2 linked regions of the Notamacropus eugenii genome follow. The protein of the gene in region 1 binds, or shares a complex with, the protein of each later gene. Links are inferred from orthologs where the notes say so. Each region holds a gene or a part of one and is shown on either strand. Other genes may lie near its edges.

Region 1 (3,747 bases):
AGTCATTCAAATTCAATTAACATTTTCTTCAACATCCTTAGCGCTGAAGACAATAAGGATCCAAGAGGATACAAAGTCACAGTCTCAAGGAGCTTATACAATTTAGTAAGCGGCTGATACACTGAAGCACTGGCAAGTGATTTGAAGAAACTCTTATAGTAGAATAGAGAGAGAGAACCCTGAAGCTGGAAGACCTGTGTTCTGGTCCCACCTCTGAAACATACTGGCTGTGATCCTGGGCAAGTCAGTTAACCTCTCATGGCTCTAAAGGAACTTAACTCTTTAGATGCAAGGAGAGGGCAGACTGCATTGGCAGAGGGAATTTCCTCACCTGAGTTTCCCTATACTAATGAAATTTCTTTCCCTATCCTTCCTAAGCCTTGTCAATTTACTCACAAGGTACCACCTCTAGTTCATCACCTCTTGCTTGGACTATTGCAATATCCACTCAATTGGTCTCCCTGCCTCAAGTCTATCTCCTCCTGTAACATATACTGGCCCCCATAAAAGTGCCAAAGTGATTTTCCTAAAGTATAGTTGCGTCTGACCATGCCACCTCCCTACTCAAAAACTTCATTATCTTATTACTTTTACCTCTAGTCAAATACAAATATCAGTTTAGTATTTAAAACCCCTCACAACATGGACCCAAATTACCTTTCCAGACTTACTACATTATTCCCCTCTCCATACTTTACAGTCTAACCTAACAGGACTTCTGGTTATTTTTTATAGCTGTTCCTCATGTAATATTCAGTGCCTTCATACAAGCTGTCCATTATATCTGAAATTCATTCCTTTCACACCCATGACTCTCAGAATCCCTAGTTTCCTTCAAAACTCAGATCAAGAGCCACTTTCTACCAGAAGTTTTTTCATGATTGCCCCCCAACACAACCACTAACCTTGCCCTTCCCTCCTCTCCCCTCAAAAGTGGGATATGGGTATACATGAGAAGTAATGTGGCATAGTGAACAAAGAGAGAGCCAGCTTTGGATGCTGAAGACTTGGGTTCCAGTACTGCCTCTGAAACATTGTGTGACCCTTTGCAAATCACTTAACCTCTAGGCAACTCTCCAAGATTTTGAATTGTAGAAAAAGTGCCAACCTGCATAAGTGGAGGGAAAATTACAATCAATCAATATTTATTATGCCCTTACTATGTTCCAGGAACTGTGCCAAGCACTGAATTTCTCATCTGGGAAGTTATCTATAAGGATTAAATCACAAGTATGTATCATATGTACATGAATACACACACATGTGAATACACAAACGTAAACAAGTTTAGAATCTCCCTAGGGGGGACAACATATACAAGGATATACACATATTTTATAGATGAGGTATGATTTAATTAATAACTAGTATGACAGTTTCTGTGGCAACTGTTCAAACACTAAGTTCCATTACAGAACATCATGAGCTTCAACATTGCGCATGTTAAACACTTCTTGTTCTGTCATGTCCTACTCTTTGTGACTCCATTGGGATTTTCTGGGCAAAGATATTCGAGTGGTTTGCCCTGTCCTTCTCCAGCTCATCTGACAGATGAGGAAACTGAAGCAAACAGGGTTCAGTAACTTGCCCAGGGTCGGCTAGAAAGTGTCTGAGGCTGGATTTGAGCCTAGGAGTCCAGGACCCGCCCCTCACCAGCCAGCCTCACCATTCTATTAAATACTATGGCACGGCACATACAGACTTAAAAAGAGTTTCCATTTTCATGCTAAGCTGAAACACTACCTATAGAAAACATCGCAGAGGAAGTAATCCCTTTACACCGCTTAACACACGTACATACGCATGTGTGTACACTTGAATACGCGGTCTCCCCAGGGAGACTCTAGTTCGTCGGGGGAAGCCGGACTATTTCATTTCCATCTCCGCATCCCCAGCGCAGTGACGGGACACAGCGGGCCCTTGTGATTCCAGAGGGATCGCCGGCCTTTCCAGCGGAGGCGCGGCGGGCCGTGTCACCAGGCCCGGTCACAAGAGAAGCCGCGAACCCGCGCGTTAGGGGCTGGGGAAGGCCCCGACGTCCTCCCCGCGCCGCGGCAGGGGGGGACGCTCCGGGGAGGGGGCGCTCAGGCCGAAGCCTGCGGGCCAGCCCCCAACTCCAGGCCCCCACGCCCCGCATCCTACGCGGACCTCTCTGCCACCCATCTGACGCCCCCGATCGAGGAGAGGGTCACCCCTCACCTCCAGGCGGGAAAGATGGTGGGCCCCAGCCACTTACCCGGTCCTCGAAGCCCCCGGAGACGTGACAGCGGAGCCCGGGGCTGGCGCTACAGCGGCCGCGGCCCCGTCTCCGGGCAGCCGCGTGTGGAGCAACGGGGCCGCCATAGGAACAGCTGAGCGAGAGGAGTTTGCCCCGGAAGTGATGCTGGCTCATAGCGGCCCGAACCGGAACTTGACTCGCTAAACTCCTCCCCTTCCACATGCTCCCAGCCAGTCTGAGGAGCTACGAGGGAGCGCCTGGGAGAGAGGGCGATCTTTCTTTGGGGCTAGAGCGTCGGCTTGGCCTCGGCTTGGCGCTCCCTTGCGGCGGGGCGGGGCGGAGCGGCGCCGGGGCTTCCCTGTCTGGGTGGGCGGGTTCTTGTGTTTGTCCTTGGGTCTCGAAGAGGACCGTGACGTCACGATGACGGCGTGACTTGCAGGTGACTGATTTGAGTGAGGGAGGGCTGCGCGAGGGCCCCAGCCTCCCCTTCTCCTCCGGAGCCATGTGGGCCCAGTGGCCTGAGGTGGCCCGGGAGGCGGTGGGAGACCCTGCCCTCTCCCTTTGGGTGAGAAGCCCCCATTCCGAGAAGAGGCTTCTTTAAGTTACTCAAGGGATGGCCACTTTACTAATAATAATCAGACTGGGAGGGGAAGCCCCTGGGGCTTCCTAGGGGAAAGAGAAACGATTCCTATTTAGTTATCATACCCCCTGTGCCGGGTGGGTGGGCACTTGTCCAGCGGTCAGCTCCAGAGTGAATTGGGTTTGAGGCTTGGCCTTGGAGCAGGACATGGAGCCAGTAAACAAAAAGGCAGCTTTTCTGGGTGGCAGAGAGAGTGCCGAGGGAGGAGTACATTTGGAAATAAAAGTGGTAAACACAAAATGCATCAACAAACGTTGAAAAGAACCAAAAAAATTAATCTTCCATAAGAAAAGTGTCATTGCTTGTGTTCTGATGTGGAAACGTGAGGCACCATCAGGATTGTCCTGAACTGGGGCGTTTGAGGGAGAATGACATTATTTGGGGATAAAGACACCAACTGAAAGGGTCCCAACCTCAGTTATTTATAATTTTTGTGCTCCATAGTGTTAGAGACAAACTTGACACACGAAAAAGGTATCAAAATCTATTAAAAATGGAGTTCAGAATAGGGAAGGCCTAAGTTCCTTTTAGGAAGGAAGGGGTAGCTTCCAGCATGGCTCCCGGAAAGACTTCGATCAGGTCATGATGAGTCAGGACCCTTATAGAATTCTGAACTTTGGATTTCCTTCCATATGGTCCGCTGGCCGTGTGACTTCATGTTCTCCTCTGATAGGGTATTCCTCACACAGCCCCTTGGGCCTGCACATTAGTTTCTGACCTCTAGCCTGTCACAACCCCCCATCAAAGTATGGAAATAAAACTTGCTTCCTGTTTTCCCACAATAGCATTCTGGAGTCCTATGAGCGCAAAATTTTTGATAGGGTTTTGGGCATAAGCTCTCAAGTAAAAGGGGGGGGGGGGGGGTGAAGGAAGGAGGAGGTCAGCAGAA
Region 2 (3,747 bases), on another chromosome or scaffold:
AAAGGACAGCAGATGACACAGAGTCAAATACTTAACCTAAATTTTATAAGGTATTGTAAACACTCCATGAAAGAAAAAGAAAATAATCAGACCTCTTCTCTGGTACGAAGAGAGGGCCAAAACATTTTAAGTAGATTTTCCAGATTACAGGGGTGCTGCACCCCTAACCCCCTACTTCTCAATGTGGAAAGGATAACTGCATATAGTATATAGCTCATAACCCTATACTAGGGAAACATACTTCCCTAGAACCCTAAGAGTATATGAGGCCCACTTTCAGTGAAAGAATAAGATTTATAAAGAAATCCTCATGATATGGTAACTCTTATTTATCTAGAATCCAAACAATCAGGAAGCCCAAATTCCTATATCTGTTTTTCATATTGTGTATATTATTCCCATAGTTCAGCTCCACTTACCTATACTCTGGATGTGCTGTAAACGCCAAGGTAAATGTATTTCTGGACCAGCGCCTACTGATGCTTCTACTTGATCATCCTCTTCCCCAGGACTCGTTAGTTCATCACTGAAAGTATCCATATCTACTCCAAATGAAAAAGAATATTTACAAATTCTGCACATAAATCTATAGCTCAAAAAGCATTTTTAAAAAACTAACAAATATAGCATGCACTTCAATGTGCCTGGAATTTCCTTTAGTTTAAAACAAAATTGAGCTGTCAGTAGTAACTGAAATGGACCAGAAGGTAACATCCATATAAATCAATTTAAAAAGACATTTATTAAGCACTTTCAGTATATAGGCACCTAGGTGGCACAGCAGATAGAGTCCCTGGAGTCAGGCCTGGGCATGGAGTCAGGAAGACTCATCTTCCTGAGTTCAAATCTGGCCTCAGACAATTCCTAACTGTGTGACCCTGGACAAGTCACTTATCAGTGTCTGCCTCAATTGGCATGATCTCTAAGGTTCCTTCAAGCTTCAAATCTAAGATCTTAATACAAGTTTTATAGGTTTTAACAATGTAAATCAGTCATGGTTTTGCTCAAGTTAACAGATATTAACAGAGGACTGGACTTGGTGAAATTTCCTTTGATTAGTAATTATGTGACACATGCCCTCTGGGCCTCAGTTTTCTCATACAGTCTACTCAAGTCCTCTCACTGTTAAATCTGTGACAAGACACTACTGATTCTACCAGCCTGCTTTAACAAGTGATCAGAGATAGGATAAAGTGTAAAAAGAATCACAATTTTCTAATTAGTGGTTTGATGTGTAGAACAATGGTATCAATCCCAAACAGAAACAGAGTCCACTAAATTCTAAATAATAAGGATCCCTGAAGCTGCATATTAACTTAAGAAACCACATATTAACATTATCTATGTTCTATGTATATTTATTTTGCTAAATAGTTTTCAATTACTTCTTAATCTGGTTGGGAGTATTTGAGATTTCTACTGTAGACAATTACTTAATATTTTGTTATATAAGAGGAGCTTAGAATTCATTAAGAATGACAGAACAATTTAGTTGAAGAAAAACAGACAAGAAATAATCTGAGTACACCACAAAGTATTATATAATATAACAGAGGTTCATGGAATGTTAGAGGTGGATGAACCTTTAGAAATCAACTCAGCTTCCTCATTTTCAAAGGCTTAATCTTTAGGCACTTCAGCTTCTTTTTTTAAATGTGGTAAGTCATATTGTCTGCCCAAATGAAATAACACACAAGGAGCACCAGGGACAGGACCTGTCACTTCACTGACAGGGGGAACTCCTATGAGAAAACTCCTCCCACCAAGGTGGGTCAGGGCCTCTTCTATAACTCAGAGTTGTCTACAGCACCAAGTGGATAAGTGACTTGACCAGGGTCATACAGTCACTACATGTCAGCCTTGGCCCAAGGACAGCTCTCACTACATACACCATAACTCACTCTCTAAAAGCACAGGACAAGCGCCGGACTCGCACGTCCGCGTGGAGCTAAGTGACACCGTGGGCAGAGCCCTGAGCTGGAGGTCTGCAGAACCTGAGTCAGGATCAGTCCGCCGCAGCCCCTGCTTCCAAGGTGGTTGTGAGGGCATCATCAGACAGCCTACGGCATGGCCCTCGCAAGCCCCACGGATCTTTAAAGCCTCCTTTTTGTCATCCCTGCCCTGACACTTCACCACGGAGCTGCGTAATTCCCAGCAGGGCACACAAAAACGCTGGGCACCTCCGCTTCTCCTGGCTCCAGGCACTTTCTCAAACTGACCCCCGAGTCTGGACCGCTCTTCCTCCTCGGCTCTGACCACTGACCTCCCCGGCTGGTCCCAACTAAAAATCCCGCCTCCTACAGGAAGCCTTCCCCCACCCTCTGGGTTGCAGGGCTTTCCCTCGGCTCGCTATTTCCTGTTTACCTAGTATACAGCTGTCTTTGCATGGATCTGTCCGCAGGGTGTCCCCTCAATTAGACTGCGAGCTCCTTGGGGGCGGGAACTGCCCCCTGCCCAGCGCTGGGCACACGCTGGGTGTAGTAGGCGCTTGCTAGGGGTCGTGAGGTTAGGAGGAAGTTACTTTATAAACCCCCGTAGAAGTCCTTCTCCATCCCCATCATCGCCATCATCATCTTCATCGCCACCGCAGGGCTTTGATCACTAGCTTCGTAAAGTTTAGGACCTCCATCACAGAGGTTTCGTAATTGGGACGAGACTTAACAGACGACGGCCGTGACCTCACCAATTACCGCCCCTCCTCAGCCGGAGCGACGAGCAGAGGGTCCTAGGCCACCTCCCCGCCTCCGGTCTGCCCTCCCAGTTACGCGGTTACCATGGCAACCAAGCCTCGCCTCCCCGGGGGTAGAGGAGGGAAAGGAAGCGAGGGAAGGGAGAGGGCAGGGGCTCGAGTTCCCAAGGCAACAAGGCCGAGCCATTACTAAAAAAATAAATAAGCGGGCCCAGACGTAAGGGGACGTCCGAGACTAGGCCCAGTCACCGTTAGCGGCTCCTGAATCTGTGAATTCTCATTCTGACACTTACCGGAGCTCGGCTCTGGCCTCTTTCCACCTCTCCTTAGGACCCAGAGGAAACCCCGCGGAAGTTCAGACAGCCCGGGAGCATGCAGTGAAACGCACAGCGGAGCACGATCCGACGGCGCATGCGCTCGCGTGTTGCCTTATAGAGAGCGCTTGCGTCACTTCCTTTGACCCCCCCCCCCCTTTTCGGCGCCTCTCGCCTCCCCCGCTTCCGGCGTCTGAGGATCCCGCATTCCCGGAATAGGTTTTCCCGTCACTGTGGTCTCAGATCCGGAGAATGAGGGGTTTAGGGTGACACTTGAGTGCCTGGCCGCTGATGACCCCTGACCTTTGACTCTTGATGAACTTGCCAGCTTGGCTTTGCGCGCAGCTGTTGATGCGCAGAGGAAGCACGAGGACCGAGGGTTGGAGCTGTCCTGCCAGAAAGGCTTAGGCTGTCCTCGTCTGTCCGAGCGCTCCACTCCTGTTTTGGGCAGAAGAAGAAGAAAGCGGGAGACGGGAATCACTGTTAAACAGTGTTTAACTGTGCATAGTTATGATTATGCCCGTGCCAACATATTCCTAATGGATGCTTTTACTTTGCCTTGAACCTTAAAAAAGGAATTCTCCCCTTCCAGCCTTGGCAGGACACTGAGCGTCCCCTGATCACAAGTACGTGACTTGAGAAGCCAGCCAGGCTGGGCAGGAGGCGAGCAGACAGAAGCACATTTCGCCCGTCTTAGGTTTCGAGGCGCCCAGCCCAGAGACGAGCCTGCTCTGAAATAGGGTG

Evidence for each region.
Region 2: RRN3 (region 1) and TAF1A share a complex: the UniProt entries of both Homo sapiens proteins name them as parts of the pol I pre-initiation complex. The link is inferred for Notamacropus eugenii from reciprocal best matches to the Homo sapiens genes RRN3 and TAF1A.

The regions. Positions count from the first base shown.
Region 1 is NC_092872.1:95,690,577-95,694,323, reverse strand, and holds the start of RRN3 (RNA polymerase I-specific transcription initiation factor RRN3), read right to left. Parts: upstream 2,391-3,747; 5' UTR 2,344-2,390; coding exon 2,237-2,343; intron 1-2,236. UniProt on the Homo sapiens protein: Required for efficient transcription initiation by RNA polymerase I (Pol I). Required for the formation of the competent pre-initiation complex (PIC).
Region 2 is NC_092873.1:414,094,393-414,098,139, reverse strand, and holds the start of TAF1A (TATA box-binding protein-associated factor RNA polymerase I subunit A), read right to left. Parts: upstream 2,275-3,747; 5' UTR 2,053-2,274; coding exon 1,902-2,052; intron 543-1,901; coding exon 420-542; intron 1-419. UniProt on the Homo sapiens protein: Component of the transcription factor SL1/TIF-IB complex, which is involved in the assembly of the PIC (pre-initiation complex) during RNA polymerase I-dependent transcription.